4 linked regions of the Lytechinus pictus genome follow. The protein of the gene in region 1 purifies or fractionates together with the protein of each later gene. This does not show direct contact. Links are inferred from orthologs where the notes say so. Each region holds a gene or a part of one and is shown in the gene's direction. Other genes may lie near its edges.

Evidence for each region.
Region 2: the proteins of KRR1 small subunit processome component homolog (region 1) and ATP-dependent RNA helicase DDX18-like purify together in Homo sapiens (affinity purification with mass spectrometry; 3 studies listed by BioGRID and IntAct, with this or other methods). This does not show direct contact. The link is inferred for Lytechinus pictus from reciprocal best matches to the Homo sapiens genes KRR1 and DDX18.
Region 3: the proteins of KRR1 small subunit processome component homolog (region 1) and ATP-dependent RNA helicase DDX24-like purify together in Homo sapiens (affinity purification with mass spectrometry; 3 studies listed by BioGRID and IntAct, with this or other methods). This does not show direct contact. The link is inferred for Lytechinus pictus from reciprocal best matches to the Homo sapiens genes KRR1 and DDX24.
Region 4: the proteins of KRR1 small subunit processome component homolog (region 1) and protein KRI1 homolog purify together in Homo sapiens (affinity purification with mass spectrometry; 3 studies listed by BioGRID and IntAct, with this or other methods). This does not show direct contact. The link is inferred for Lytechinus pictus from reciprocal best matches to the Homo sapiens genes KRR1 and KRI1.

Annotation. Positions count from the first base shown.
Region 1 is NC_087253.1:12,255,048-12,263,068, forward strand, and holds the start of KRR1 small subunit processome component homolog, read left to right. Parts: upstream 1-5,011; 5' UTR 5,012-5,032; intron 5,033-8,021. Other genes in the region: putative ammonium transporter 1, read right to left, coding at 1,111-1,225. UniProt on the Homo sapiens protein: Part of the small subunit (SSU) processome, first precursor of the small eukaryotic ribosomal subunit.
Region 2 is NC_087248.1:10,997,089-11,004,440, forward strand, and holds the start of ATP-dependent RNA helicase DDX18-like, read left to right. Parts: upstream 1-4,333; 5' UTR 4,334-4,539; coding exon 4,540-4,543; intron 4,544-7,352. UniProt on the Homo sapiens protein: ATP-dependent RNA helicase that plays a role in the regulation of R-loop homeostasis in both endogenous R-loop-prone regions and at sites of DNA damage.
Region 3 is NC_087261.1:25,557,181-25,564,250, forward strand, and holds the start of ATP-dependent RNA helicase DDX24-like, read left to right. Parts: upstream 1-4,046; 5' UTR 4,047-4,262; coding exon of another isoform or gene 4,263-4,268; 5' UTR 4,269-4,439; coding exon 4,440-4,673; intron 4,674-7,070. Other genes in the region: uncharacterized protein LOC135157277, read right to left, coding at 1,089-2,581, 3,652-3,754. UniProt on the Homo sapiens protein: ATP-dependent RNA helicase that plays a role in various aspects of RNA metabolism including pre-mRNA splicing and is thereby involved in different biological processes such as cell cycle regulation or innate immunity.
Region 4 is NC_087255.1:3,240,808-3,248,050, forward strand, and holds the start of protein KRI1 homolog, read left to right. Parts: upstream 1-4,227; 5' UTR 4,228-4,248; coding exon 4,249-4,360; intron 4,361-7,243.

The DNA of each region.
Region 1 (8,021 bases):
TGTTTTCCTTATTGGTTTTCAACCAAAACCGAAGTATTACCATGGCCCTGATAGGAAAGCGGGGATATTGAAGCACCAGCAAAAATGTTCTAAGGGTGCGCATGCATTACCCCTGCATGCCCTCTGGAAATTAGGTTTGTATGCTTTAATGTAGAGATTTGACCCAAATCACCTTCATTTGAGAGTAAGCCCTCCTTTGTTTGCTTGTCATTTTCTTCTGACCAAAACCAAGTTCATTAGGGAGCAAAAAACCCTTTGGGGAGGGGGGTTATCAATTTTGCTCTGATCAACCAAAATCACCTAAATTTGAGACTGAAAACTTTTTATATTTTGCTTGTCAAAATTTTTCTTACCAAATTCACCCCCAATAAGTTTTTTGTTTGCTAGTCAGACGTTTTTAAGCAAGCCAGCACCATGGGCAGCACCCACTCTTTAATTGCCATTTGTATACTTATAATCTCTCTGTGTTAAGTTATTTATCTAATTCGGTACAAATAAAATGAAAGTATAATACAATGAGATGATATACATAATAAAAACAAGTTGATAGAAAATTATACAAGCCTCAGTGAAAATCATGAATATGTACGTATTAATATGAAAGAATACTGTGTAATCTGGGGCCCGTAACCAAAAGCTTAGCAATGATCGTAGAACACTTTTCTACGATTGATTCCATTGACTACAAAACACAATCAATCGTGAAAATCAAGCGTACGATTAATCGCTAACTTTGTTTTTATACTTCGTAACTCTGCATACTGTATATGCAAACATACTTTTACCTTTGCTATGTTTCAATCGTTTATTAACTTGTCATATATATCACAAATTCAACTGTATATATATATATATATATATATATAAATTAAAAAAAGTGGGTGCTGCCCAGGATCAGGATGCTGGCTTGTTTAAAAATGTCTGACTGGCAAAAAAGAAGCTTATTGGATTGGTAAGGAAAATTTTGACAAGCAAAAATAAAAGTTTTCAGTCTAAATATATATATATATATATATATATATATATATATATATGTTTGTATACCTATCTATCTATTAACCTTTGTGTCTAAAACTATCTCACTCGGACACAAAAGTTTTATATACTCACAGAATATGATACAGGACATCACCAGAAGAAAAAAATGATCCATGTTTTCCCTGAGATAGCCAAAGTCATCTTGGAGTTGCATCAAAGCAAGTTCACTTCCATTAATTGGCGGCATTCTGTGGTAAAACAAACGTTCCTTCTGCCTTGGAGAAAGTAATCGAATCAACCTTAATCAGATACACCGCACATATAGGACGTGAGAGTTCTGGCGCCTCGTTCAGTTCTGGTGGAAGACTCCGAACGCCAGTGAATGGGTGTCCATTCTCCCGCAGAATGCGCACGCAATAAAAAGCTGCTCGCTCCAGGATCCAAGCGTGAACACAAGGTCACGTGCATCGATTGGGACCACGTGGTGGTATTTTAGTTCCGTGAATGGAAACTTTGATAATAGTCTACAGGGGCGGATCATGCAGCCTTCGCCAATAGGGGGGGGGGCCCGGATTTTTTTTCAGCCATATTTTCCCCGATCGGCCGCTCGATTTTTGGTTTCTTTGAAGGGGTAGCCCTAATAGTCACTTTTTAGCTTTATTCTTATTACTCAACATAAATACATGATCCTTATTTATATAATGCGAGCGCGAAGCGCGAGCTAATTTTTTTCTGGAAATCTTGTGTATTTTTCCCCTAAAATTTGAACATTCTGGGCAATGTTTGTTATCCTGAAAAAGATGTGTATGCAACTAAATAATTACTACGAACACGAAGCGCGAGCAGAAGTGAACTGATGGAAAAGGTACCTGTTAAAGACTGCATGCAGTTAGCCATGAAGTCGTTACCTATTTTAAAAATCAAATAATTCGAGCGCAAAGCGCAAGCTGAAATTTGTTGAAATTTTTACCCGAAGAATGGAAATTCTAAGCACTTTTTGTAACTTGAACATAATAGGTATATAACTAAACAATTAATGCGAGTGCGAATTAAGCGCGAGCGGAAAAACTAGAGATTTAGACCTAAAAAACGGGACACTCTATTCATGTTTTGTAAATAATGAAAAGAATGGGTAATAGGGGATCTTTCTACATTAATAATGAGAGCACAAAACGCGAGCAGAAAATTTATGATATTGTGATCTGAAACTGGAAATAATAATGTCCTTAGGACATTTCATCATATGAAAATGAAGACTGTCTTCTTATTCCTCTTGCTAAGCTCGAGATGAAACAAAAGGGACAATTCAATTATTAAATTAATATCTTATTCATTAATGCCTAATGAGGGGGCGAAATCTGATGATATGATGGCCTGAAAACTGGACATTTCAATCAGTTAATATGTTATTAACCATTAATGCGAGCGCAAATGGCGAGCCTAAATTTTTTATACACTGTCATGAAAAGGGGATTTTAAGTAGTTTGTTGTATAATCAATATTGAGACATACATAACTCGCCAATCAAAATGCGAGCGTGCAGCGCTAGCTGATACGTTTTAACAATCAGACCTGAAAAGGGATATTTTGTAAACTTTATGAAATACACGAAAATAATAGGTACCTGATAAATTTGCGAGCGCGCAGAAAATGCTAATATTCAGAGCATAAAACTGACATTTTTTCAGAGCACTTTAAAAAAATCAAAATAAATTACACAAAATAATGAAAGTTCGATTTCCGAGATGAAATATGTTTTATATATTGACTTCCAAACTTGATATTTAAACTCCATAATGAACAAGATATGTAAATGAGCTAAAAGGCAATGCGAGCGCGAAGCGCGGGCGAACATTTTGTTTTTAATGACATGAATTATTTTCTTAATTATTTTCCAAGTCTTCCCCTCATCTTAATTTATTCACTCGTCTTCTTCTTCTTATGTTTCCCCTTCTTTTTCTCCTCTCTCCTCTCTCCTCTTCTTTTTCTTTTTTTCTTTCTTTCCCCTTTTTTTTTCTTCTTTTTTTGCTCCGCCAAAAGGTGGGGGGGCCCGGGCCCCTCGGGTCCCCCTGGATCCGCCTATGGTCTACAGACTTCTCAAAATTTAGATGGTATAGGAACGGTTTTACTTTTTGATTTAAACCTGTCTCCCACTATTTACCGGGCAGAGGAAAGCGACTCCGGCATCATCACCCTCGCTGTGTGTGTTTTTTTTTTTTTTTTTTTTTTTTTTTTGGGGGAGGGGCAAAAGTGGATGTTTAGGAAGCGAGGGGTTTAAATATTTAAAAAAAGTTTGTGCTGCCAGACTAGTTCAGCACACTTGCTTGTGTTTCGGAGTTGGGGTTTCCCCCATTTTTTGGTTAGAGTTTTTTTCACGTGGTGTGCAGCTTCTCTTCTTCACTCTCGACCTTTATTCATCCATTCTGATGTTAAAATATCTTGAGGTTTGATCGATTTCAGGATTATCTTCTTTTTATTCTAGTCTCTGACCCAACAAAAGAAGATTTAGGTGCTGAAAATACATTATTTCAATGTAGGTCTATAAAAAGGGCACTAGAGAGTTGTGACGACCAATCAGGTTAGAGAAGGGGATGAAAGCAAAGGATCGGAGTAGGCAGACACAAAGGGAAGTCAGTGTAAGTAAGGCCAGTAAAAGACCCTAATAAAGCTGTGAGGGATCAAGACAATTGGGCAGGCAACATCAAACAGGATCTGGAACAAAACAGTGATGGGGGTGGAGGAAGAGATGAATAACAAGAGAATTAGTGAGAGGTGGGTCAAACAGGTTACAAAGAAAGGCATAATAAACTGGTGCATAAGAGTGGGGGGAAAGAGAAACAACTGATAATGTGCAAAAGACATATAAGTAAAAAGGATAAAGCAAACAAAAATCCAATTAATAAAGATTAACTTCATGACGTCATCCGCCTTTTCTTTTCATATACATTCCGGACCTTGTTCCGGACCTTGTACCGGATTTGACAGTCCCCTCGACAAAAATATTCATCTAAAGTTGCATGCCACGAATTAAAAGACCCTTTTTCTATCTATCTTTCTATCATCTATCTATCTATCTGTCCATCTTTCTTTCTGTCTTCTTCGTCTTCTTCTTCTTTCTTTCTTTTCTTTCTTTCTTTCCTTCCTTCTTTCTTTCTTTCTCGTCTCCTTCTTCCTTTTCTTCTTCTTCTTCATCATCTTCTTATTCCCCTTTCTTCTTGTTCTTCTTTTTCTTCTTCTTTTTCTTCCTCTTTCTTTCCTTTTCTTCTTTTTCTTTTTTTTCTTCTCCTTCTTTTTCTTCTTCTTCTCCTTTTTCTTTTTCTTCTTCTTCTTTCTTTCGTTCTTCTTCTTCTCATTCTTCCTTTCTTCTTCTTTTTCTTTTTCTTCTTATTCTTCTTCTTCCTTCTTTTTTCTTTCTCTTTCTTCTTTTCTTCTTTCTTTCCTTTTCTTCTTTTCCTTTTTGTTCTTTCTGTCTTTTTCTTCTTTTTCTTCTTCTTCTTCTTCTTCTTCTTCTTTCTTTCCTTTTCTTCTTTTCCTTTTTGTTCTTTCTGTCTTTTTGTTCTTCTTTCTTTCCTTTTCTTATTTGTCTTTTTCTTCTTCTTAATTTGAGCTATGTAAAAATTAAGTATTATTATCATCTTATCTTATCATAGTCACCTGCAGTGCAAGCGATAACGTGGGATCGGAATCGCCCTTGTCATGATATGCATGCTTGTGGGTATCTATGTTCAAGAGGATCGTTGGGGATCGTTTTTGTCTATTGCCTTTCTTTTGAGGGACTATGATTGTGGGGGTATTATGCTCTTCATTGCGAACTGAACCATGATGTTCAGTCTTGCCTTATAGCCTCAAAAAGATGTCCCAAACAACTCTTCCCAATCAATGTTTATTATGATGTATCACGCGTGTTTCGCGTGATCGACCATGCCTTTGGCCCATGGTAGCGCGTCAATAACATAGAAAATGTCGCTAAATTATTGTTTGGTTACAAACATAATCAACTCGACGGATTGTTATGGTTCTCTCTTAAAAAATCGAGAACTAAACAGGTGATAAAGTAAGCTGAACGTTGCCTCTATTTTGTGTTTTTGTTTCCTTTTGTTTGTAGTTTGTGTTTATTTTTTGTTTTGTGTTTGTTTGTTTGTTTATTTTGTGGGGAGATCATTATTTTTTTCATTTTTAAATGATTTCAATAATTAATGTCAAAGATTCAGGGGAAACTGTATGACCCTAAATGCCTTTTACAAAAAAAAAACACCACCATATGTATCAAAATTTACTCTATTTACTCGTTACTCTAGCTGTTAAACGATAATCAAAGTTTTCATTTTTATCTTATACCGGAAAGCATCATAAACGGCCTATAACATACATCATTGTTTCCCTCATCATATAAACACACATTTAATCGCTTTACCCCCATCAAAATGTTTACAACACCTCATAAATAAGAAGAAAAAAGAAGAGGAAGTCATTATTACAACTCACCAAAGCCGTTTTAAAACATTATTAAGGTAAGCAACCGGATTTCAGAACGCATATCAGACAACATTTTACGAAAGTCAAGTGATTATAAATGTTTTTAATGTAATAACATTTATATTCACTGGTAATTAATATTGGTTATGTACCAGCTCAGCTGGCATTATACCAGCAAAAAGCTGTCCTGTCGAGTTCCTTCGGAGTTACCATAATGAGAATCAGAAACATACTGTGCTTGTTTCATGCATTTCTTACTCCTTGAAATATTAAGATATTATGTTTATACATTTTGTTCAAAATATGTCCAATTTCATTTTACTGTGTTTCATTTCTATACTGAATAAGAAAATGCAAGTATTTTCTTTTATGTGTCACCATGGATCTAGTAGGATCCATGGTGTCTGTGAGTGTGTGAGAATTAATACGACTGTGTTGTGATGATGTAGGCCTATATGTGTTTTATAATTTGCATGAATACACTTTTTGACTGTGATATCATAGGAATACGAATAAACATAATGAACTCTCATTTGACTGTACAAAATGTGCATGCTATGATAACATGGTCCATCGAGCGCATTGTCCTTGACCTTGTGTATATTTCATATCAATTATTACTTGATGCACATGGCGCACAGAGGTGGGGGGCTTTGGGGCTAGAACCCCCCCCCCCCCCAAAAAAAAAAAAATAATAATAATAATAAATAAATAAATAAATAAATAAAGATAATAATAATAATACCACCAAGAAAAAAATGAGAAAAGGAATTTTATGTTAAAAATGTCAAAACTATTGCTCGCTCACTCGCAGCTTTCTTGAACTTTTCCCCGTGCGCCACTTCTCGGACCCTCTCAAAGTCTGCGGTTCATTGTGGCTGTTTGCCAACTTATTAAATCATGGGCTTATATATTTATAATATTTTCCTTTCAGTGTTCGATTATCATTATCTTTATCATCATTGATCATAATTGTATTGTTTCTGTTACATTCGACCTCAATTCCTGTTGCTTAATATTGATTTATTCATTAAATATCTAAATTTCAAAAAGTCAGCAAAAATCAAATTATATTCGAATCGTGATACTATTAATACGAAAATGTTTTTTTAACATGGTGAAAATATAAAACGTTTTCATGCAAGTATAATGCAAATGTAATAAAATGTTATAGTTATTATCATTATCATTATTCATGCAATGAAATGTACGGCGTTATTAGTCCAATATACAACACAGTACAGATAATAGATTCACTGGACTGCCAGGTAGGTTCAAATGAAATTAAATGAACCTTACTTTTGTCATTGGAGATACATTTATTAGACCCTATATGCATTGAATGCTTACAAAATGTGATGTCGAACAAGAATGTCTCTAAATCAGTGTTATTTCTTTGCTTTAATTACTTTGCATTTTTATTTGGGAGGGGGTAAAGGCTGCATATAATACATGTACAAAACGCATACAAAAACACACTGTCCAACGATTGCCCAAACCTTAGTTACGTCATTATTTTTTACTAGTTTACGCTTTAAAAAATGTGGATAAAATATAGTTACTATATGACAGTTCTGCTTGTGATAATGTTAAGAAAACATTCATATAAAATGTGCCGTGCATCGATCAAAATTTTGGAAGTAAAATGTATTCTCGGCTACTACATGGAATTTATTTGTATCGGCTTTGAAGTGTACAGTCAAACACTACGTTGAAGTACAAGATTTAGCTTGAAATAATAAACATTTACTTATACAAAATGGGTTGGGGTTGAAAATACATTTCTAAACATTCAGAATATTCATCAAATTATATCTTAACTTTACTTATTCAACCTTTCGCAGTCATCCACTCAGAATGTCACAGACGGGAAAGGTATGCATAACTATGCCTGTTGCTACTGCAGCAGCAGCTTCTCTACTTTGTTCTGACCTCGCATATAAAAAATAAATAATCACTATTTGGAGCATTATTTATCAAGCGTCAAGCCACTTGAGGCCAAGTCACACATCATTGAATCATTGTGAGACACAATAAACATGTACCTTCAGAATGAATTTTTCCAACTTATTTGCTATTGTAGTTCCCTTTCATACCCCAGATCATTTTTCGATCGTCATGTTATTATGTGTAGTCTAAATCACTCACGTAGTTGCTTTTGAAACAGTATATTTGATGTGAATTGTTTGCAGTTATTGAAGTAAAATCACATAGGGGCCCACCGAGGGTGATTTGTGACGACACTACCGAATGTGCATTGTTATCATTTTTGGACAAACATGATTATACCAGCCGCATCTAATGGAGTTCAAGGATGGCTTAACGTAATGAGCAGAAAAAAAATAATGAAAACAGAATATAAGGAAGCTGAACGTGGTTATAGGGCCTATTATTATGGGACAAAATCCTGGGGCCAAAAGATGAACAAAAAATACTAGAATGTTTGGGATATTTGTTAACTTTATGACTTGACTTTGAATCTGAGCTGCAAGATCCCATTTGCCTTCTGTGTTTGTAAGATATTGATGAAACCTGAAAAGTTGCACCCGAAATATTTATCTATTTCA
Region 2 (7,352 bases), on another chromosome or scaffold:
GTCTGGACGTGTCTGGAGTGAATCGTCCGATATATATTTGGTCACATTACACTCGCTACACCTTCAAATGGGATCGTACTTGGAATATTTTCATTTTCATGACGGGTTTCTCCCCATTCCCCAAATCATAGCCAAACTTCTCATTTCTCAACTTCTGAAACATAATCACACTTCTAACAAAGATTCAAGACAAGATTTAATCACAGTAACAGTAACTAATCACTTACATTCATCACCAGTAAGTTTTACTGCAAAACACATCGATTCATAACCGACCACATACCGGTACTCCGCGGGCGCACATCATAAACCTTTCTGGCACGATAACGCCTTTTAAGTATTGTTGTTTACGTGATGATGGATATCAAAATTTATAGTGGATATGCCATTTAAACTGAAATAAAGGAAAATGTGTGTTTTGTAATTTATATATTAAATATTAATTCATGAAAGAGATTTTCAATTGACAATTATCATTCTTTCATAATTCAATAATTCTACCAGAATAAAAAATGAAGTTTTGATCCTGATATAAGTTTCTACGAACAAGTTATCAAAATATAAACATACGTGAAATATTTAATATTTGCAAAAACACAAATACAATTGACATCTAGATAATGGACAGTTTCATTCTAATTAATCATTATTATTGACAGTTCAAGAAAGAAAAGGGATGATTCATTATTTTGGATTTGATAAATAAATCAAAAGAAACAAAATAAAACGGCCAATCAACATGTATTTGACGTTTACATGATTTCAAAATTATCTTCATTCTTCATTCATATCGAAAGTTGATTTGAGAAAAAAGTACTGAAAATGAATATTTCGTTACACATTTCAATTTAAATAAATTACAAAAAACAACATGACACACGCAGCCAACATTCATTCGACGTTTTCATAGTTTCAAAAATAATCATCTTCATTGGTAACCAAAGTTGCTGTGAGAAAAAGTAGAATTCATTTTGCATTTGATGAATAAATTACAAGAAACAACATGACACACGCAATCAACATTTATTCGACGTTTTCAACTTTTCATAGTTTCAAAAATAATCATCTTCATTGGTAACCAAAGTTGCTGTGAGAAAAAGTAGAATTCATTTTGCAATTGATGAATAAATTACAAGAAACAACATGACACACCCGAGTAACCCGATCAACATTTATTTGACGCTTAAATGGTTTCAAATTATCTTCATTCTTCACTCGTATTGAAAGTCGAGGTAAGAAAATATACGATGAGTTATGCATTTGAAATCATCAAAACATAAGATGGGAAAGAAAAACGATCTTAAGCGACACCATAGTAAAATCGCCATCGTTGTCAGAACGGAAGTTTCCTCCATTCACGGATGGTCATGCTCCAAAACTGATATAAAAACGATGGTTTTCGGCGGGAATATATTACCGAAGAAGATTAATTGATATTGGTGATTATATTGGCGACTAAAACTTATAAATTTTGTTGGTGAGTCTTACCAAATTTAATGAGTTTTTGTGACAGGAAGGTGGTGAATCAGTGTCCACGGATACCCGAACCCGAAAAATGAAAACCGTTATCCGTCCACGCGGGCGGAAATCGTTCGGATATCTGTTTGGTGGCAGCACTAGTCCCAAGAACAACAGATATAAAGTAAACTTAAGAACTCTGCACCTCTGTAAAATTTGGTGATTATTTGCCTATCCCTGTTCAAGTTATATCATTTTCGCATTTTAATTAGGCATTTTTCCCATTTGTTATGTACAAATGAATATTTAATTACTACCTCATTTGCATATTATTGTATATATGCTCACAAGATCAACATATATGAAAAAAATTACAAACACTACATCTGTGTGAAATTTGTGATTACCGTAAGTAACGGTGTATTAACCGCACCTTTTTCTCGGCGGGATATAAGCAAAAGTCGGGGGTGCGGTTTATACACGGTGACGGGTCTGAGCCCGCCCGCGTAGCCCCTCCCGAACATGTAAGAAGTCTGCCAGTTCACAACACATCGAGTGGCCGGCCGTAGCCGCCCAGTGCAATGTCGTTTAGAGGGGTATGAGCCGCGGGTAATGGGTAGCAATTATTATGATCTTATGATCAAATACTGTCGTAACAAATGCACCCACCTTCATGACACTAATTTCGACTTTATTCTCGATTCAAAGCAGCGAAGTTCCCTGGCTAAGTTCATAGAGACGCCAAGCATTCTCGGTAATAATTTGTCACAGCTGATTTTGGTTTTAGTGCGACTTAAGCTGGCGCTATTCATTTAATTTAACCCCTCAAAGTCCCGTTTCGCGCCAGCTTATTTTTTTTCTTTCCCGTACACCGTGCACCACGCACGATAGAGACGGCACGAAGCCGTCAAACAACTGGAAAAAATACAAATTTCTTTGTTTCTTGAACCTTCCTGTAATCCCGTATCCAAAATTCATGCTAAGACATCGAATGCTAGACAAATTCTGAAAGTGATTGTGAGGTTGTGATGCAAGAAATGTGAAAGACACAGATCACAATTTGATAAGATGTACTGGTAGTGGTACCGTATCGAAGTTTGAAATGTACATGTACAAGAAAGGCAGTGCTGTGTGTGTGTACACTGTGACTGTGAGGTGAGTGAGTGTGTAAATTGCCAATATTGGCGGGACCTTTCTTTCTTGCTAACATTTGTAGATGAATTGATCAAGAACAGCAGATTTCTGCATACTGGTAATCTCTTTGAATACTTTGAAATCTTTAACTTAGTTTTTGTTTCTTCGTACCTAAAATATGCATGTAAATGTGAGGATTTTTTTTTTTTTTTTTTTTTTTTTTTTTTTTAGTCCAAAATTGGGGGTGCGGTTTATACACGGGTGCGGTTAATACACCGTTACTTACGGTAATTGCCCATCCACTTTCAATTTAAGCCATTTTCACATATTAATTAGCTGGACTTAGTCATTTTTTGCCAACTTCCTCTGGGTCCAAAGGTGAAAATTTGTGTTTTCCCCATATTTTGAACTCCGTTAATATGGTGTTTAACATGTTAGGAACCCCCAAGGAAAAGCAACCTCTATACTTCATCAAGTTTTAAAATAGGTAGCTTTAAAAATTGCAAAAAAACATATTTTTGCCACTTTTTGGCAGAAAATCTGCCTTATTTTTTAAATTTGAATTGGCCGTATCTCGGCAACCCCTGGTCCAATTTTTATTTTCTTGGTGTCATTTTACTCGTGTTTCAGAGCTTATTCCAGATAAACTATTTAAAACTAGATTAACAACACTTTAATTTTTGGGGTGACGTCCCTACTAAAAAGGGCACCGTAATCTAGATAAGGGAATTAATGAAAATTTCAATTTTATCCAGTTATGTTTTATGAATCTTTAAAGATTTTTCTCATTTTACCTCATAAAGTAAGCTCGATCGATACATCAATTCTACAATCAGTAATAAATAAAAAATTTGATCTCCTTTGATTTATTGAAATATATGATTTTATAAAAAGTCGTCATTCAGAAATAAAACTAAAAGTAAAACTCAAGGTTCATGTGACGATGAAGACTAAATATTTTTCCGATACTATCCGATCGATATCAAAGTTCAAACTCAAAGTTCAAACAACGTCGCGGACTTGAGTTGAAATGAAAGACAAAATTGCCTTCGACTTCGTGAAACGGAAAGCGCTGATATTATTATTAGTGATATGTCGCCAATCTTCCTATCTCGGAAGAATGGTCCTAAGGACGTTCCTACGTATCGCTCATCTCGTCATGCAACAGGCCCATGGATGCTAAGCTTAGCTCATAGCTGTCTGTCAGTTCTGATCCCCCGATGGCGCGTTGGCGATCGATGGGATGGGTCCCGTCGCTCCATCTCCATCTCCATCTCCACCGGCCTGCCGCGACATCCCCGCTCGATCAGTTCAGCCGTGCTCCTCTACTCGCGCAGCTGTAATCACACCATTGGACAACCACTGAACTTATAATGATTTATATTGCTTTAAGGATTAATAATTCTCAATTGTATACTTACAAAATTACAAAATATAAAGAATTCGCATCAGAAAAACAAATTCTTACCACTTTTCCGTGATTACCGTGGCACTGGCAAGTAAAAATTGAGAGATCAATGAAGGTCTTGGAATAATCTATTTTTACAAGAGGGGATAATAACAAAGTGCTGGACAAACGAAAATTATGAAATAGGGTTTGTCTGTTTCAGAAAATGCATACAGTAAAATACTCTGAAACTTTGAAAAAGAAATAACCACATGCCCATTTCTTGCATCTAATTGAGTATAATATGGAGGGCTTTTAAACTTAATTTAATAATATTTTTCCAATGGTTTATTAGAACCCTTCAATAAGTGTTATTCGAACAGTCCTTAAAACAACGCACAGGGAACTTGCGATTTGCACGTGTATTTAAAGGACGTCTGTGCAAGGCAATCTCAAGAAATTGGAATCAACCAAGTAAATTAGATATTTTATATATATTATACATATTCTTCTGCTTTGCGACTGAACTTTTGTGGGTATTAAAGAGTGTGGACTAAGAAATGGGTGAGAATTCATGTTATTTTGTTATGAAATTGTTCGTTTACTTTGTTGTTGAAACGATATCTTTTACCATTTTGTCGTGTGTGGTCCCGCGTGTTATAAATGGTGTTTCTGAATCTGATGTAACTTAACCATCATCAACTGTACGTGTATACTGCACTGTATGGATATGGATGGCACGGGGGGGGGGGCACTCGATCAAAAAAGTAGGCCAAAAGTAGTGGGTATGTGCCGCGGGCGAGACAAAAAACGGAGGCCTTGGAGCGGGCTTATTGTAAAAAAAAAAGGAGGGTCCTCGGAACGGGCTTCGGAACGACAAGTGACGAAGTGTTTGTGAAAACGGGGGTCCTTGGTCTTGAAACGGGTCGCCTGCGTGTGATTGCGTATGCATCCCGATGGAACGGGCCTCGTGCATGCAGCAAGCCCGGCAGCACGGGCGCTTGGTGCGCTAGCGCAGATGCGATGGTCGGACAGCGCTCTGCGGCCGCTTTTCACAAAAATTGCGGATCATTGTAGCAGATCAATACGGCTGGAACGTCGTAACTGAAAATATGCGAAGCTTTTAATTTGGAGCGGATTTCTTTCTTCTTTTTTCTCGATAAGAAGAAAATGCTATGCTTTGGAGCGGCTTTCTTTGTTCTTTTTCTCAATAAGACAAAAATGCTATGCCTTGGAATGGAAATTTGAGTGTAAAACTAAAAATGGGGGTCCCCTCCGCGGCACATACCCACTATGCATTATGTACTGAGTGCCCCCCCCCCCCCCGGGATGGATGGACAGTGGCGGACCGTGACCTGGAGGAGACAAAGCATTGGAGGGGCACAGCATTGTTCACAAACAATACAGTGCCCCTCCAATGCTTTGTCTCCTCCGAATCACGGTCCGCCACTGTGGATGAATTAAGTCATTAACGACTAACGTTACTTACAATTTACATCATACTAATTACTGTGCATTTGATTTTGTACTGATTTCTGATAAAACTAAAGCAGAGGAAGAAGAAGATGCATGATGATCGGGTGTAGATCTAGAATAGGTTCAGCATTAACCTGGTTTAACTTAGCCAGGACCAGGAGGCTCCTAGAGAGTAAAAATCATTTACTAACTAACGTAGACTCTCCACGGAGCCAGGGATTCTATTGCATTCATCTACACATACCGCCAAAAAACCTCAAACTTTCGCCCCCGAGATTTTTACTTTCCTCCTAAATAATCTAGCCCTGAATCATGTAAATGGGATACAACTTCATTTCCGACATTTCTACGCTATCAATTTCATTTTTAAACAAGAATTCATCAAAAAAAAAAGAAAAATATTATGAAAAGACGAGGGAGACTCGCCCGATGTTTACGCCGCCATCTTGTTTTCTATTGTTCTTCCCCAACGTTACTGACTGAAGAATTGACATTAAAAGAGAGAAAGAATATTGATGACCAGGACTTGGGGACGAGAGAAGAGAGAAATAGAAAAAAAAGAGGGGAAGGTCGAGACTCGGAGAAGAGGATATTGATTGTTTTTGGTAAGAGAGCGAGAGAGGGGTGGTGAAGGGGAGAGGATGGGTTGATTGGAAAGAGAGAGTGGGGAATTAAGGTAAGCAAGAGACTGGAGATAAAGAAAAACAAAATCAGAATGAAAGAGTGAATTGGGAATTTACACGATATTAGATGGTATACCGGTATTGAAGCAATTAGGAATACTGGTATTAAAAATATCAATACTGAAAAAGCTTACCCAGGATATCGAAAATTCTAATTGAAAAGCTTTGATAAAAGCCTAACTTCACAAACGTAGAGGGCAGCAACACATGGCTGCCAGTTTTGCATCTCCCGCAAACAATTTTAAAATGTAAGGAATAAATCATTGGTAACGTATATTTTCAGTATTTTATTTGAAAATAAGTAGTATAAAAAAAAAGCTTAAGAGTATAAAGAAAAATGTGGCCCATCATTAAAGATGATATGTCATTTAGACCTAAATAAAATTAAAAATCAAGACAAAACACTATAGGCCCAAATTGGGCGACATGATTACACATGCGGGCTGGCACTAACATACTACTGTCGGTGAATGGGGATAGTAGTAAGATGTCAGAAATTGTCAAATGTATCCCCTGAAATGATGGTTATTCCTGTCTACATTCTGTTTTACTTGTATGTTGTAATTAATAACTAATTATTCTCAAATCTCGATCTCATGAGCTGTGTCTAACTTAAAAGAGTAATGCCATTAATCTCAGTCCAAAATACTGGAGGGATTACCAAAGAGGTACCTCAGGTGATGATTCATGTAGGCTCCACTACACTTCACTACCGCTACACCTACCCAAACCATCAGGGTACATAACTCGTTCTGAAACTCCTAATGACACTTTATTTCATCACTTTATGTGATGAAATCATAAAACTCATGCAACAATGTGACCTTACAAACAATCAAAAACTAATCTTCTTGCATTTCATCCTGTCTCACTCCTTGTCCTTGCTTCTGTCAGGCTCAAAATTGGTGATTTAAAGCCAGTAACAATTTCCTCGCACGTATTAATTCACTGCCGATTCCAAAACATCGCAAATGCAAATTGCGCATGCGCGGGTCGGGGTTTGCAGCTCAAGATCATGAATATTCATGAGTATTCCTATAGATCTGGATTGTTTCGCTATTTGCATATTCAGGGAAGTTTATCATGAGAAAAAGCTTAATTGTATGTATAACAGAAAAAAAAAAAAAAAAATATTGTTGAAGGTTTGAGAAAATCCATCAAAGAATAAAAGTTATTAGAAGTTTAATTATTGGATTTGTGATGTCATATGCAAG
Region 3 (7,070 bases), on another chromosome or scaffold:
TCAAGTATCACAATAATATTACAGATGCTGTTTCATTAGATATTTTAATATATTCCCAATTTTAGCATAATAAATTGAATTTTTAATAACATTGATGTTTAATACATTTCTATGAATTCTGACTTCAAACAATTTAACAAAAAATAACTGTAATCTTCATCCCATTTCAAGTAGGTCATGACAAGGACAATGAGCAACAGCCAAGGGAATCAAATCGAGAAAGGGGAAACTGCAGCCAGACACAAATGAGCGGACAACCTGATGAGAAGGGATAAGAGGGCATTCAAGGCATAGTAAAAGCCATTGGACAGTCTGCATAAGATATTCTACCTCATTCATTGAACTTGTGTTTTTTTTTTAGCACAACAATAATATAACAGATGCTGTTTCATTAGAATTTTCCAAAATCTGCCTGGTAGATTTTTGATTGCAGGTTTGTATAAACTGTAAGAGTAAAAAATTAATTGGTGGACTGGTACAAAATTTTGAAAGACATTCATATTATATGTACCACAAACTAGTGTCTCAATATGGCAGGAAATATTACAATTCAATGTTTTTATGTATTGCAAAAGATGAAGTAATCTTGATTTACTACAAAAAGAGCAGCTATAAACATGTACTGAGTAAAAATAATTTGTACATTAGTGTTATTCCCTGAACATAATTGTAATTGGTGGATTCATGCAATAAATGCAATTACATTGAGTAAAAACGAAATTTATTTTCGGTGTGTGCATGAATAGTTTCTTTTCAAACACACAAAAAAGATAGCAAATTTATTTCACATACCTCTTTATCTGTCGACATGGATGAATTACTGAATTCCAGAAGATATATGTTCCATTACTAAGCATTGTCAAACCACCATAGAAGTCTGATATGTAAATAATTTGTCCAAATAATAAAGGTTAGTGATCCATTAAGTATTCATTTCAATATCCTGATGAATTGATAAGTAATCTTTCTCAAATCAATGCTATAACTCTGAAGTGAACTTGGGCCAAAATCTCTTGTGCAGAGTTCATTTTCAGTTAAGACATCATTTTTCTTTCCTTTGTACAAATGAATAACTTTGGCTGCCTTTCTTACATGAGCTCCAGACAATTATCTTCCCATTCCTTCTCAAGAGGATATGTGTACAGGTTCTCGTCATTGTCATACACAAGGGTGTAAAATGTATAACCTTTGTCGAAATATTCCTGATCGTTACATTCCATCAAGTCTTCAATGTCCTGTTGAGTACTCTTTCTCAACACTCTGCCATGGTATGTGACAAGACGTTTGCCACCTTCAGGAAGAAACTTGTGTTTAATTCTTTTGTGTAAAATGGTAGTTTCAGGAAAGGGTTCTTTGCGCTTTCTCCCTGTCACTTTTGATAGCAGTTTCTCTCTTAATGCCTTCCTTTCTTCTTGAAGAGTGTCACTATCAGGGAATGTGCAGGATGTACCAGATTCAGCATCTTCTGACTGACCGATGGGGGCTGAATGAACAACCTGAATTATCTCTTTTAAGTTGTCACACAGGTCAGATGCGCTTAGGGGTTTACCAGCCTTTGACTTAAAAAACAAAGCACCTTTGACCAATCCTTTGTTAACAGACTTGTAGTAGTCAATCTGTGCCAACAGAGCCTTTCTTTGATCAGACGGAGCCTTCTTAGCCATCATGGACTCCACATCAGCACTGGAGGTACAAGGACCATCACACAACTTGTTTACCATCTCAGTTGCTCTGACTGCTGTTGCTACTGATTTTCTCTTCTTTTCTTCTTTTGCTTGTTGCTGTCTGTCCATCATCTCTTGCCTTTCCTTCTTCATATCCTTAACCTTGTCTTGGTACCTCTTCATAACTATTCTTTTATTCTTAGTGGCATCATCAAATGTGCTCACGATGTCCTCGTTGCTGTCATCTATAGTAGTCAGGGGAAGCTCACTGTCATCTTTAGTAGTCAGGGGAGGCTCATTTCCATCAGGATGGTCATCTTCCAGTTGCTCTTCATTGATGGGTCTTTTAGTTGGATAGCAGTAGGGAGTTCTTAAAAATTCCTCCAACCTTTCTCTTGATGAATCTCGGGACAATTTGATCCTCCTTGTGGCTACACTTTTCCAACTACTTATAACAGTTCCTCTATGTGGTACTTCACCAGTTTTTTCTGGAAAAAGTGCACACCACCACTCATCAAGAACAGTCTTCCAAGGAATGGAATTTCGTCTACGATAATGAAATAGCTCTACAATGATTCCATTTGAGATATCTCCTTGTAAATTACTGCATCCTTCTTTCAACAAACCAGGAGTAATTCCCAATTGCTGACATGCTGAACCAATAACACGATTAGACCCAGACAAGTCTGTATATTCTTCACATAGGGATTCTAAGTTATCAGCACTGATTGCTTTTAAAGCACTGCGTTTCACTTTGGACAGGATTCCAGGTAATGTGCAGTTAGGTTCTTTGATGCCCATGCTCTTCAAAATATTAACAAAGTCTTTCCGGAAGCTCAAGCTCTCAGTGTCATCAACACATTTTCTGATGATTTCCATTAAGCCAAAAGTAGGCCTTGGGTCCTCCCACCAGTGATCTGTAATTAAAAGAAAAGGAAGAAGAAAAAAAAAATGTCAATGTAGGTTCTTTGCCTGAGTGATTTAAAATCAACGGCATACTAATTACTATATTTACTCAAATAATTGAAAAAAAATATCAATCAATTATTGATCTAAACTTTAATTATTGACATTAAAAAGTGTTTGCTACCTTAAATAAAAGGATAATATTTGCTAATTTAAGAGGGAAAGTCTGGATTTATAAAATAAAAATAATGTGAAACTTGAAAATAAATGCACATACTGTAGACCAAAACAAATATTAGGACTGAACCAATATATGTGTTTCTTAAAAAAAAAAAAAAAAAAAAAAAAAAAAAATTGGGCAGGGGGGGGGGGGGCCACAATTCTTTGTCAATGAATTAAAAAAAAATAATTATGAACGGGCACTAAACAGAGAAAGGGTTTTAAAATTGATAGGGGAAGGATGTGTTATTCACAGCAATGGTATAAAGAAATTCTGAGAATGAGAAATAATTATTAGCTTATAATAATTTTTAAAGCCCATTTGAAAGTATAATTTGTTTCTTTTGTAATTATGTCTCTTTGAGGCCCCCACCCCCTCCCCCTCCCCCCTAAAAAAAAATTAATTAATAAAGGAAAAGAATTGGTTATGGGCACAATTGAGACAAAATAATTCAGTAAATATGACCAAACAATTAATTAAAAGTGACAAATTTGACTTTCAAGTCTAATTTCTTGAATTGCCTGACATCACACAACTATTGATTTGAAAAACGTACGAGGAAAATGAAAACAGTCGTTCCAGAGGGAGGGAGAGAGGCAATGGAATATCCATACCTTAAACTGCGCATGCGCAGAAAAGAAAAATTCGGTCGGCGAATGTGGCCGGTCGACTGGAGAAATGGCTGTGCAATTTTGCGCGCACTCCCTCTGCACAATCACGGCAAAATTGTTCATTAGATATTTGAAAAAGATCGACATTTTTCACATTTCATGTCACAATCACAACCATTTCACATCATTTCATAATAAAAATCCAATCAATCGGGTATTAAGAATACGTAATCGGCACAAATCTACTCACCAGGACATTTCCGTTCGTGTACAAGAGAGTGAATTTCATCGGCAGTCCATCCGGTGAGTTGGAGTATTCGTGTATGTTCTGCGCTGAAGTCAGCGGATGCCATGATTGAAGTCAAGCGCGTAGTACCTCGAAATCGTGAACCAAAATTTGGTTTGCTCAATTCAAAGCCATTTCCTTGCTAGTTACACTCATTTTCAGGACAAAATAATATCATCCCTAAAAAATGTAACAAGTACTTCACTCTTCGGAAATACACTTGAATACCGGAGATATGAAGAATCCAAGCCACACGGTAAAATCGCCTGCGGTGTGACCATAAATTGGTTTCCACGGAAGCAGAATACAGGGTCATGATCGGAAAGGTCACGATATCCTTATATGGAAATTTCATGCACATATTTAGAGTGTAACATGTGAGGATCGTTGATTTTTCTGAGGGGATGTTTTTAGTCATTTTCAGGGCGTTTTCAAAAATACGCGAAGTTAAGCGCCACGCGTCATTTCCCCCCAAATACCGGCGGTGTGCTTGGAGTTAAATATTGATTAGAAATATGAATTCTTCATGAAAAAAGGTGAGAAGCGAGACAGAGCATATTGACAATACAATAAAAATGGAGGTAAAGAAATTAAAACTATATACTTATTTTTAAACTCACAGGAATGTTTTAAAAAGTAACAAAAATTATGTTCACGCAGGAATGGATGAATTTAGCATTTCAAGCAGACTGTGTGCGCATACGCTGTGCTATGCCTTAAATCAAGTTATAATATAAGGTTATCAAATCAAGATGGCGACTTCCATTCGACACGTGAAGCGGCGCGAGCGCTTGAAGAAATACAACAAAATGAAGAGAGAATCACGAAAACAGCCCGCTTTTCTAGATGAACAGAATTGGAAACCTTTCGAAGTGGATATGTCAGCGTTTGCTGACGAAGAGATGGGTGGATTCGTTGGAATGGAGGTTTTAACTGATTACGATCCAAACATGTTTAGAAAACTTACGAGTGGGACTGTGGGAAAGGTAAGCATGCGCATGCAGAGTGAAGGTGCTCCGCTCCGCCGCTTACTGCGCGCTGCGGCAGCTCGAAAAAGACGCCGCCGATGATTCAGGCGGAGCTGGGGCTCAGCTCAGGATAGCCCAAAAAGCTTCAGTCTCTGTATTTTGGTTGTTCAGCTGAACTGCGTTGGCTCCACTTACAGTAGAGGCGCACGGCCAATATGGGAGACTCTCTCCAATAGGGGAGACAATCTCCCACATGTCATTGGAGACTTGCTTTGCAAAAGGACAAAAGAAACAACACCAACAAAAGCGTGATTATTTCCACCCAAAATTTTGTCTCACTGAGGTCAGAAGCCCATTTGTTTTGTGTGTGATTGACAAGAAAAATCCTTATCAAAACAAAAGTAGACGTAGACAGCTGGCAGCCGTCTGTTTTGAGGAGTTTTTTAACATTTTTTTTTTTAAGTTCTCCTCATACACAGACGGCTCGCTAGCGTGCAGCCACCATTAGGGGACTTGCAATGCAAAATCCCCCCGTCGGGGCTCTTCAATTTTTGTCTTTAATCAATAAACATTTTGAAAATTAATGCGACCAAAATGCAAATTGATATTCCCTCTTGGCATTAATTGCCAAGAAACGGCGAAAAATCGAGTTAAAAGGAACAAAAACAGTGACTTACCTCGGCTGTCGCGCAAATTCACTTCCCCGTTTTATCCGATCTTAAGTACATAAACATATGGCCATTGAGTCCCCTGTACAGATCGCGCTAGAACTTCGGTCTCTGTATTTGGTGAGTGAAGCCAACGGAGTTCAGCTGAACAACCAACATAACAGAGACCGAAGCTTTTGGTCTAAAGTAGACGGTGAATTTTTAAAGTAGACGGTGAAAAGGGGTAATTTTTCATTAGGAATCCCCTTATCACATTTTTATTTGCCGCCAAGGTAATCCTTTTGCAGCAAATGTAAACAAAGGAAATTGGTCTCCAAAACTGGAGACCGTCTCTGAAATTGGATACCCAAATTCTTTACAAAAGTCTCTGATATTGGAGATAATCTCCCACATTGGAGATAGTCTCCAATATTGGCCGTGCGCCTCTACTGACTTAGCATGGCCCTGGAGTAGCCTGGAGGCTTGTCAGACACAGACGGCTCGCTATCGTGCACGTGCAGCCACCATTAACGTTAGTCGTTAGACTTAGAATAGATCATGTTAACATTAAACAATGCAAAATCCCCCCGATGCGACGCGACAAGGCTCATCGATTGTTGATTATTTGTTGTCTTTATTCAGGGCTGCCAACTCTCACACAATCTGAGCTGCGTGAGTCGCACACAATTCACCCGATTCTCACGCTGACCGTAGCCGTAGGAATTCTCAAGCTAAACCCCGAAAATAGAGAGAAAAAAAGTTTAATACCTGAAGACAGTACCGAGGTTTTTTACCTGACTGCTAAGAAAGCATGAATGCCTGTGAGCAAGCAACCAGGGGACCAACGGCTTAAAGTCCTTTCCGAGGGACCTGGTAATGAGGATTAAATGCCTTACCAAGGCAAAGGGCACTAGCGCACCACTTGGGAATCGAACCCGGGTCACCGGAATCCGAAACCCCCGCTCTACTGAGCTATCGCGCCTCTTTATTAACCTATATTGGATATTCAATAACATTATAACACGGCCAGGCAAAAGTTTCAAAGTTTTTAACCACACAAGCGCAAAGCTAAACCATCAATGCAAATTGGTTTCGGTTTGCCGCGCTAAGACAAGATATTGAGTTGCGATTGGCTTACTGTACCCCGCGTGAAGAGCTGGTGACATCAAAATTTTACTATGAAGCTGGGTTTTTGAGCGAGGCACAACGAGCGATCGAGTGTCAATGCAATGCCATGCCATGGCGATAGCCCGCCGGCACGGCGCTTTGAATACATGATAGCCCCACATATGCATTTGTGTGTGTTTTGATACACTTGGTTTCTTTCGTAGCTTTATTTTAAATGAGCCAAAAAGAAACTGATAATTTTTATATGATGATACTATCATGATAGTTATAGCTTTCTTTATATCTTTCTCTCCTTCTTTCTTTTCAATCTTTCTTTGTTTTTTGTTACTGTCTTTCTTTTTTAATTTTCCTTTTTTTCTTTGTCTTCTTTCTGTCCTTAAAAAAAATATTTTTCTCTATTTCTTTTTCTCTTTTTTTTTATTTTTATTTTTATTTCTTTCTGTCTTTAATTCTTGAGTCCATCCATCCTATATCTATCTCTTCTTTCTTTCTTTCTTTCTTTCTTTGTTTCTTTCCTTCCTTCTTTTTACCCTTTCTTTCCTTCATTCTTTGTTCTTTCTTCCATCCATCCTTTCTTTACCCCTTCTTGTTTTTTATTTCTTCCTTTTAGCTTTTTTTCTCTTTCATTAATTCCTTTCTT
Region 4 (7,243 bases), on another chromosome or scaffold:
GATGACTGTTGCGGTATCCCGGGCGTTACGTAGCACATTCTCGTTTTGCTGGCACTGACTTTGTACGTGCCCCCCCGGGGGGCACTCGACCAAAAAAGTGGTAGGGGTGTGCCGCGGGCGAGGCAAAAAAACGGGGGCCTTGGAGCGGGCTTATTGTAAAAAGGAGGGTCCTCGGAACGGGCTTGGGAACTACAAATGTTTGTGAAAACGGGGGTCCTCGGAACGGATCTCCGTATGTCTGTGAGTGCGTATGCATAGCTATGGAACGGGCAATCGTGCATGACGCAGCTAGCGCGGCCTCCGCCGGGTGCGCTCGCGCTTAGGCGATGGTCGAAAAGCGCTCTACGGCCGCTTTTCACCAAAATTGTAGCAGATCAATGCGACCGGAACGGCGTAACGAAAAATATGCGAAGCTTTGGAGCGGATTTCTTTCTTCTTTTTTTTTCTCGATAAGAAGGAAATACTATATGCCTGCATGGAGCGGCTTTCTTTGTTCTTTTTCTCAATAAGACAAAAATGCTATGCCTTGGAACGGAAATTTGAGTGTAAAAATGGGGGTACGTCCCCTCCGCGGCACATACCCACTATATGCATTATATACTGAGTGCCCCCCCCCCCCGGGGGGCCGTAGACTCGCCCCATGCATGAAGGTACCTCCGAAGGTTATCTTTCTGGGAGGGGCTTTGTAGGATGGCTGATGTGCAGGACTCTGTCACCATTCAGACATGATGTTAACTGCCAATATTATTAACTCGTAGTTTTTGGCGCAGAATGTCCCCTGGTATGTCGCATTTCATAGCCTTGGAGGTTGGAGCTCAGCTTTGATGAGCTCATCGCCGACTGATAGGGGGATGTCCTTGATGATGATTTTTGTAAGGTTTTCATCTCTCAGTCTCGTGAATGGATTTACATCATAGATGGGATATCGCCCCTCGAATGGGTAGACCATCCGCAATGGGCTTTACCCGTTCGTCGTGTGAGTTGAGATAAACTCTCCATAGTCGGCGTATCTGCTGAATTCCTGTGATGTTTTCGGTAGAAACAACTTTTGACAGGTAAATGTATAGTTCCTCCGACGAGAGAGCCCTATCCTCGAGTATTCCTCACATCGTCTGCACTGACGAAGGAAAACGGGTTTAGGTCCCTTCGGTAGCAATGATTCTGGGCGTGGCTCTATCTTGCTAGCATACATATTGTAAGCGTTCAAAAGTTAATTCTAAATATCAGGTTCAGAATTCAAATGATACACCAAATGTCACAATATAAATGCTCAAATTCTCAGATGCTTAATTGATTAAATATAAAACATTTCAAGATGTACAATTCGTTCTAACACAGAGGCTTTACACATCATCGCAAAAATATATACATGAAATGTTTTTAGCAAATACTTGAAATGTTAAATGATCTAAAATATGAACAAGATAAAACATACATAATAATTATAACTTTCTTAATGAATACCTTAAACATGTTAAACTTTCACAATCATTTCAATTTTTGGTGAAATAAATAAATAACTGTACACATGTATAAGTCTATTATAAGACCATCGAACAAATTCTTGAAAATGTATTTATATTACTATTATCTTTAATCATAATTTCACACACCTCCTTAAAAAACATGCATCATGTATCATTTGTCACTGAAATAATTTGCTCTTAGCCAATCAGATAGCTCGTATCAGTTGTCAGTGAAATAATTTGCTCTTAGCCAATCAGATAGCTCGTTTCATTTGTAATAATTTGCTCTTAGCCAATCAGATAGCTCGTTTCATTTGTCAGTGAAATAATTTGCTCTTAGCCAATCAGATAGCTCATATCATTTGTCAGTGAAATAATTTGCTCTTAGCCAATCAGATAGCTTGTATCATTTGTCAGTGAAACAATTTGCTCTTAGCCAATCAGATAGCTTGTTTCATTTGTCAGTGAAAAAATTTGCTCTTAGCCAATGATATAATCAGAGAGCTTGTATTTTTTTACCTTTGCCATTTTTACCTCTGTCATTTTTACCTTTGCCATTTTTACCTCTGCCATTTTTACCTCTGCCATTTTTACCTTTGCCATTTTTCCCCTCTGTCTTTTTTACCTTTGCCATTTTTACCTTTGCCATTTTTAGCTCTGTCATTTTTACCTTTGCCATTTTTACCTCTGCCATTTTTACCTCTGTTTTTTTTTACCTTTGCCATTTTTACCTCTGCCATTTATACCTTTGCCATTTTTACCTCTGCCTTTTTTACCTTTGCAATTTTTACTTCTGCCTTTTTTACCTTTGCCATTTTTACCTCTGCCTACTTTACATTTGCCATTTTTACCTCTGCCATTTTTACACCGAGCCGTCCCGGTCCTATGTCAAAACTCAAAGTAATTATAATAAAAAATATCAGCTCGTTTAGCGCGATCCATATCCACCTCACAATTTTCCTACAAAGTGCTTGAAATATAGAGCTGAAATTGACTCTTTTTCTATCGGTATATCAAACAGTTTAAGCTCGCGCTTCACGCTCGCTTTGATTTTCATGATAAAAGGTGTATTGAATGCCTATATTCCCTGAATTGAACCCCTAAACAGCGATATTTTAGTTATGTCACGGACGTACGCGGTCGTCGGTTTTACCTTAAAGGGAAATCCAACCCAAATAAAAACTTGTTTTTATAAGAAAAATAAAAATCAAACAAGTTGATAGGTCAAAGTTTGAACAATAATGGACAAACAACAAGAAAGTTATGAATTTTTAAAAGTTGTAAATATTGGTAATTACTATACCCATGGGGACTTCAAATTGGCCGCATATGGGATGTCATATAGTGATGTAAGGCAAGGACTACTCTTCCATGTACTCCAATACATATTATGGCTAAAAATGTAATTTTTCCAAAAAGTTTTATTTCAAATTATATTTTTCTTTCATGAGGACATAAAACAATATACTACCTGGGTTATATTTAGATTACTACCACAGGGGAATGGGTACTTAGGAGAAAACCACAAATCCCTGATAATAAAGTACATGGCCTATGGGAAAGTTGTCCTTGCCCCTTGTCATAATTTACTTACCCAGTTGCCAATTTGAAATCTACATAGTATTAGTGATCTCAATTTTAAAGCAGCTATAACTTTCTTATTGCTTGTCCGATTTCTTTCAAATTTTCATCATTCTGTTTAATTTATTTTTCTCCTTCCCAACACATCATTCAATGGCCAAGGCTGGATTCCCCTTTAACTACATCATTGGGTATACAGCCCAACCTCCCACACCTTGCGCAATTCGGACTCAACACGGAATTGACGGGGCAAAAAGTCCGGCAAAAAGTACTGGTACATCCTTTATAAAACATTTTAGTTTATACCCTCGCAAATCTGACCCTAAACACGTAGCTTTCCTAGCGATATACATGTAGATACCTTTTTTTAAAAATTATTTTAGTGTTTTTGACACCCTTAATATTACTTTACGTACGTCAAAAGACATAATTTTTACGTGTTTTTTGGTCCCGCATGCATGGTATCTACTCGTCAATGTAAGTGGTCCCTTTGGCCCGGGGGGGGGGGGGGCGGGGAGCAGTCAAATATATATTGCTGTACACACCAAAAATCGTGTTTAGGGTGTTTTTTTCAGTTTTGGACGCGGTTTGCGCGTGGACTCGTTAAGGGTATCAAAAACACAAATTTTTAAGAAAAAGGGTGGTTTTGAAAGACTGGTCAATGGTCAGTCATGGGGTCGAACGTATTTATGGTATGTTTTTTCCCCAAGGCTTTTTTTTTTTTAAAGACTAGCCAAACGTGTTTAGGGTATGGCCCCCCGGCCCCCAGGTCATATTGGCGACAACTTGTTGAGGGGCCAAAATGTGAAAATATAACCTGCAAAAAAACTTGTTTAGGGGGGTATTTTGCACACAGGGAAAAACTCGTTTAGGGTTTTTTTGGAAATTCCTGGGTCACGCATGTGTTCAGCAATATTTGACTGGCCCCAGCCCTGGCCCTCTGGGCGAATAATTCAGAACCTATTTGGGAACCCGGGTGCAAACGCTAGATGAATCCCATTTGGGGTAAGTGGAATTCATGTGGGTCCCATAATTATGAGTAAAAAATTGAGTAAAAATCGTTCCCAGGGCCCTGCAGCATGACATACCTGCGTTAAGAATATTCTAGGTCAGTATTTATTTGGGGGTATAAAAAGAAGTTTTTCATTTTTATTTTGTTTTCTTGTATAACAGCGACACCGTAGTTGACGAGATTCCGAACATGTTTCGTTCCAAAATCCAGACCATGGCTGATGAAACAGTGGAATTCGGCATTAATAAGAGTTATGCACAGAATTACAATAAATGGAGAAGGAAAGAAGAAATGCAGAAGTGTAAGTAGTTATAGATCACTTCTGGTCCGAAACAAATAAGTTAGATCTAGTATCTAGATGAGTTGGCATCATCACCTCGAGGCTCGAGCGAAGTTCGTGCAGGCTCCACTCCACTTCACTACGCCTACGGTACCGGTAGGTACCGGTACCGGACGCTGCCCAATTCTCGCTCACCCTCACTTGAAAAAAGCGCGATGCGCACGCTGCTTATTATGATTATCATTTTAAATTCGTCCCAAATTCCTTATTGTTTAGTATACTCGCATAATTAAGCAGCCAAGCAGTAGAGGCGCTGGTCAGAAAATTGGGATCGTCCCAGTTTACAGGGACTGTCTCAGTTTATAAGGATTTCTTCACACAAGAAATCTAGGAAAGTTCATTCACCTGTCAAGTGCCGACACCATTCAAGTGTGCTAGTCAATGTAAACATATCGGGTTTCATAACAAGATTATTGGAAGACAGTAAGTCATGAAAAATAGACGGTGAACTGGGGGGAATTGAGGTCACTGAATCTATTTTTAGCACTCTCAATTCCCGTAATTGCTGTCTTTGTCCCGTAGGGGGAAGTGAAAAAAAAACGTCCCCATAATAAACAAGGACAGTCTCAATTTAATATCAAGACATGATTTGTCTTGGTTTATGAGGATATCCTTGTTTTCTGGGACAATCCCAATTTTTGGACCAGCGCCTCTACTGCCAAGAGGAGACCATTACATGAAAAAACCAAGTGTGGAAAAATAAAATCAATCCCTTTAAATTTATAATTCATCGTGAAATACTGCTTTAAATGTAACCCGATAACTGTTTGAACTTCGATCAACTGTACCGGTACCGCAACTGCACCAAATTACGTTTTTTTTCAATCACTTTAAAAACTCCTAAAAACAGTGAAAAATGTTATATTCTTATATGATGAAAGAAAATGTGAGAGTCGTAGGTGCGGGAGATCCTGATATGTCGTCATGACAAATTTTTCTAGAATGAATATTTGTTGTGTGAATGAATTAGCGAGGGCATACCTTGAGATAGCAGCCTGCCCTAACTCCGCTCACCCTGATTGTGTATGATAATCATTGTAAGAGTATAGGGCCTAAACGGAATTGTCATAATTTTTCAAGTAGACTTTTCTTTAGAATCTGATTTTTTGTGTCATTTCCTCTATTTTGATGGTGCTGAACATGAATCCGCTTGTTGCCAGTTTCATAAATGCCTCCTTCCGCCGTTGCCATGGCAACTGATTAATATGTTTTTAAAAAATAACATATTGTGCCTATATATATGGCACATTACCCTGTCAATTTAAATGGTCCAATCTATCATTCTTAAGCCTTCCAAATTCGATTTCTAGATATAGGCCTATCAAGTCATCAAAGTATTTGCAAAAGATCCATTGCCATGGTAACGGCTTATCTTTCCCGCAGAAAAATACAATTGTCTTGATTGCCTGCCGAGACGGCGCCGCTTTTTCCGACGGCGCCGCGCGGGCGGCGTCGTAAACATTGAAATCTTAAAACAGGATATGTTTGTGAAATGTAATCATAAGTTTGAAATAGGCCTACAGGTTTTTATAGCTATCAATGCCTATCATGAAACTTAGAAATAAGGGAGTCAGTGAAAATCCTATAGTGAGTTTCAGGTCATGCCACGGTCAAAGGTAATTTAAGGTAAATGAACTTTGGCCAATGACGTTGGGGGCATTTATTGAATTGCCATCATAAATCAACATTATGGTGGGAAAAGATGAATGGTGGAAAATGACAATGAAAATGCCAAAATTTATATAGGTTTGACTAATTCATTTGAATTAAATATCGAAAACAACAGAGTGTTCTGCATGGATATAAGTTCATTTGAATGCATGGTAATGGTATGTTGCCATGGTAACGCCTGATTACTCTACTAATTCAACTCGTGAATTTAATATGAGATAAAAATTAAGAGTAAACAATGTAGGAATGTCTGAATTTATTTCAGGTCATAATTCAGTATAGGCCTACCTCATAAGAAACATCGCTTCAATAAAAATAGTGGTAATATTTGCTTGTACAACTTTCTAAGAGAAATCAGCTCGATTGATCAGCCTATATTATTATGCTCATTATGTTAGCTAGAGCAGATTATAACTGTAATGCATGAATAATAAAGTCAGTCTTAAAAGAGATCGAAAAGAGATCGAGTGTCATATAAATTCATGAACAAATTTTTTTTGCTTGTCAAATTTTCCAGCCCCTTGCCTCACCCCCTACTTTTTGGGAAAGATTTCCGCCCCTGATTCAGAGAAAAAATGAGACATTTTAAGCACTTTTGTAATGATGTTTTATCTTACAAACCGAGAATGACTTGAAAACAAGACATGAATAATGAAACAAACGGGCAATGCGGGCACGAAGCGCAGGCTGAATAGTTATTTTGTTCTAAATGAAGGGTACAGGTATTTGTCAGTCCCCCAACTCTCATTTTCGTCTTGTCTTCTTCCTTTTATTTTCCTTCCTCTTAATCTTTTTTTTTCATTTCATTATTTTCCTATTCCGGCCTCGATTGATACCTCTTCCGTTGTATTTTTTGCGACGCGGCCATTTTTTCTTCTTTATACTCTTTTACATTTTCCTCTCTCACTTCTCCTATGATTTCTTCTCTATCTCCCCCTCTCTCTCCCTTTAGCTGAGGGTGACGGCAAAAAAAGCCCCTCGGTCGTCAACGATTTATCATGGAGCAGGCAGATAAGCTGATGTTTACAGAAATGTTGAAAGATGATCATAAGAGTTTGTCACTGAGTCACCAGAAATATTTCGAGATTTAATTGTAATCATTGTCCCAGTCCAAAGTGTGTGGGAAAAAGTTTTACAAAAATTATCTTGCTATATAATGAATCGTAGGGTCAT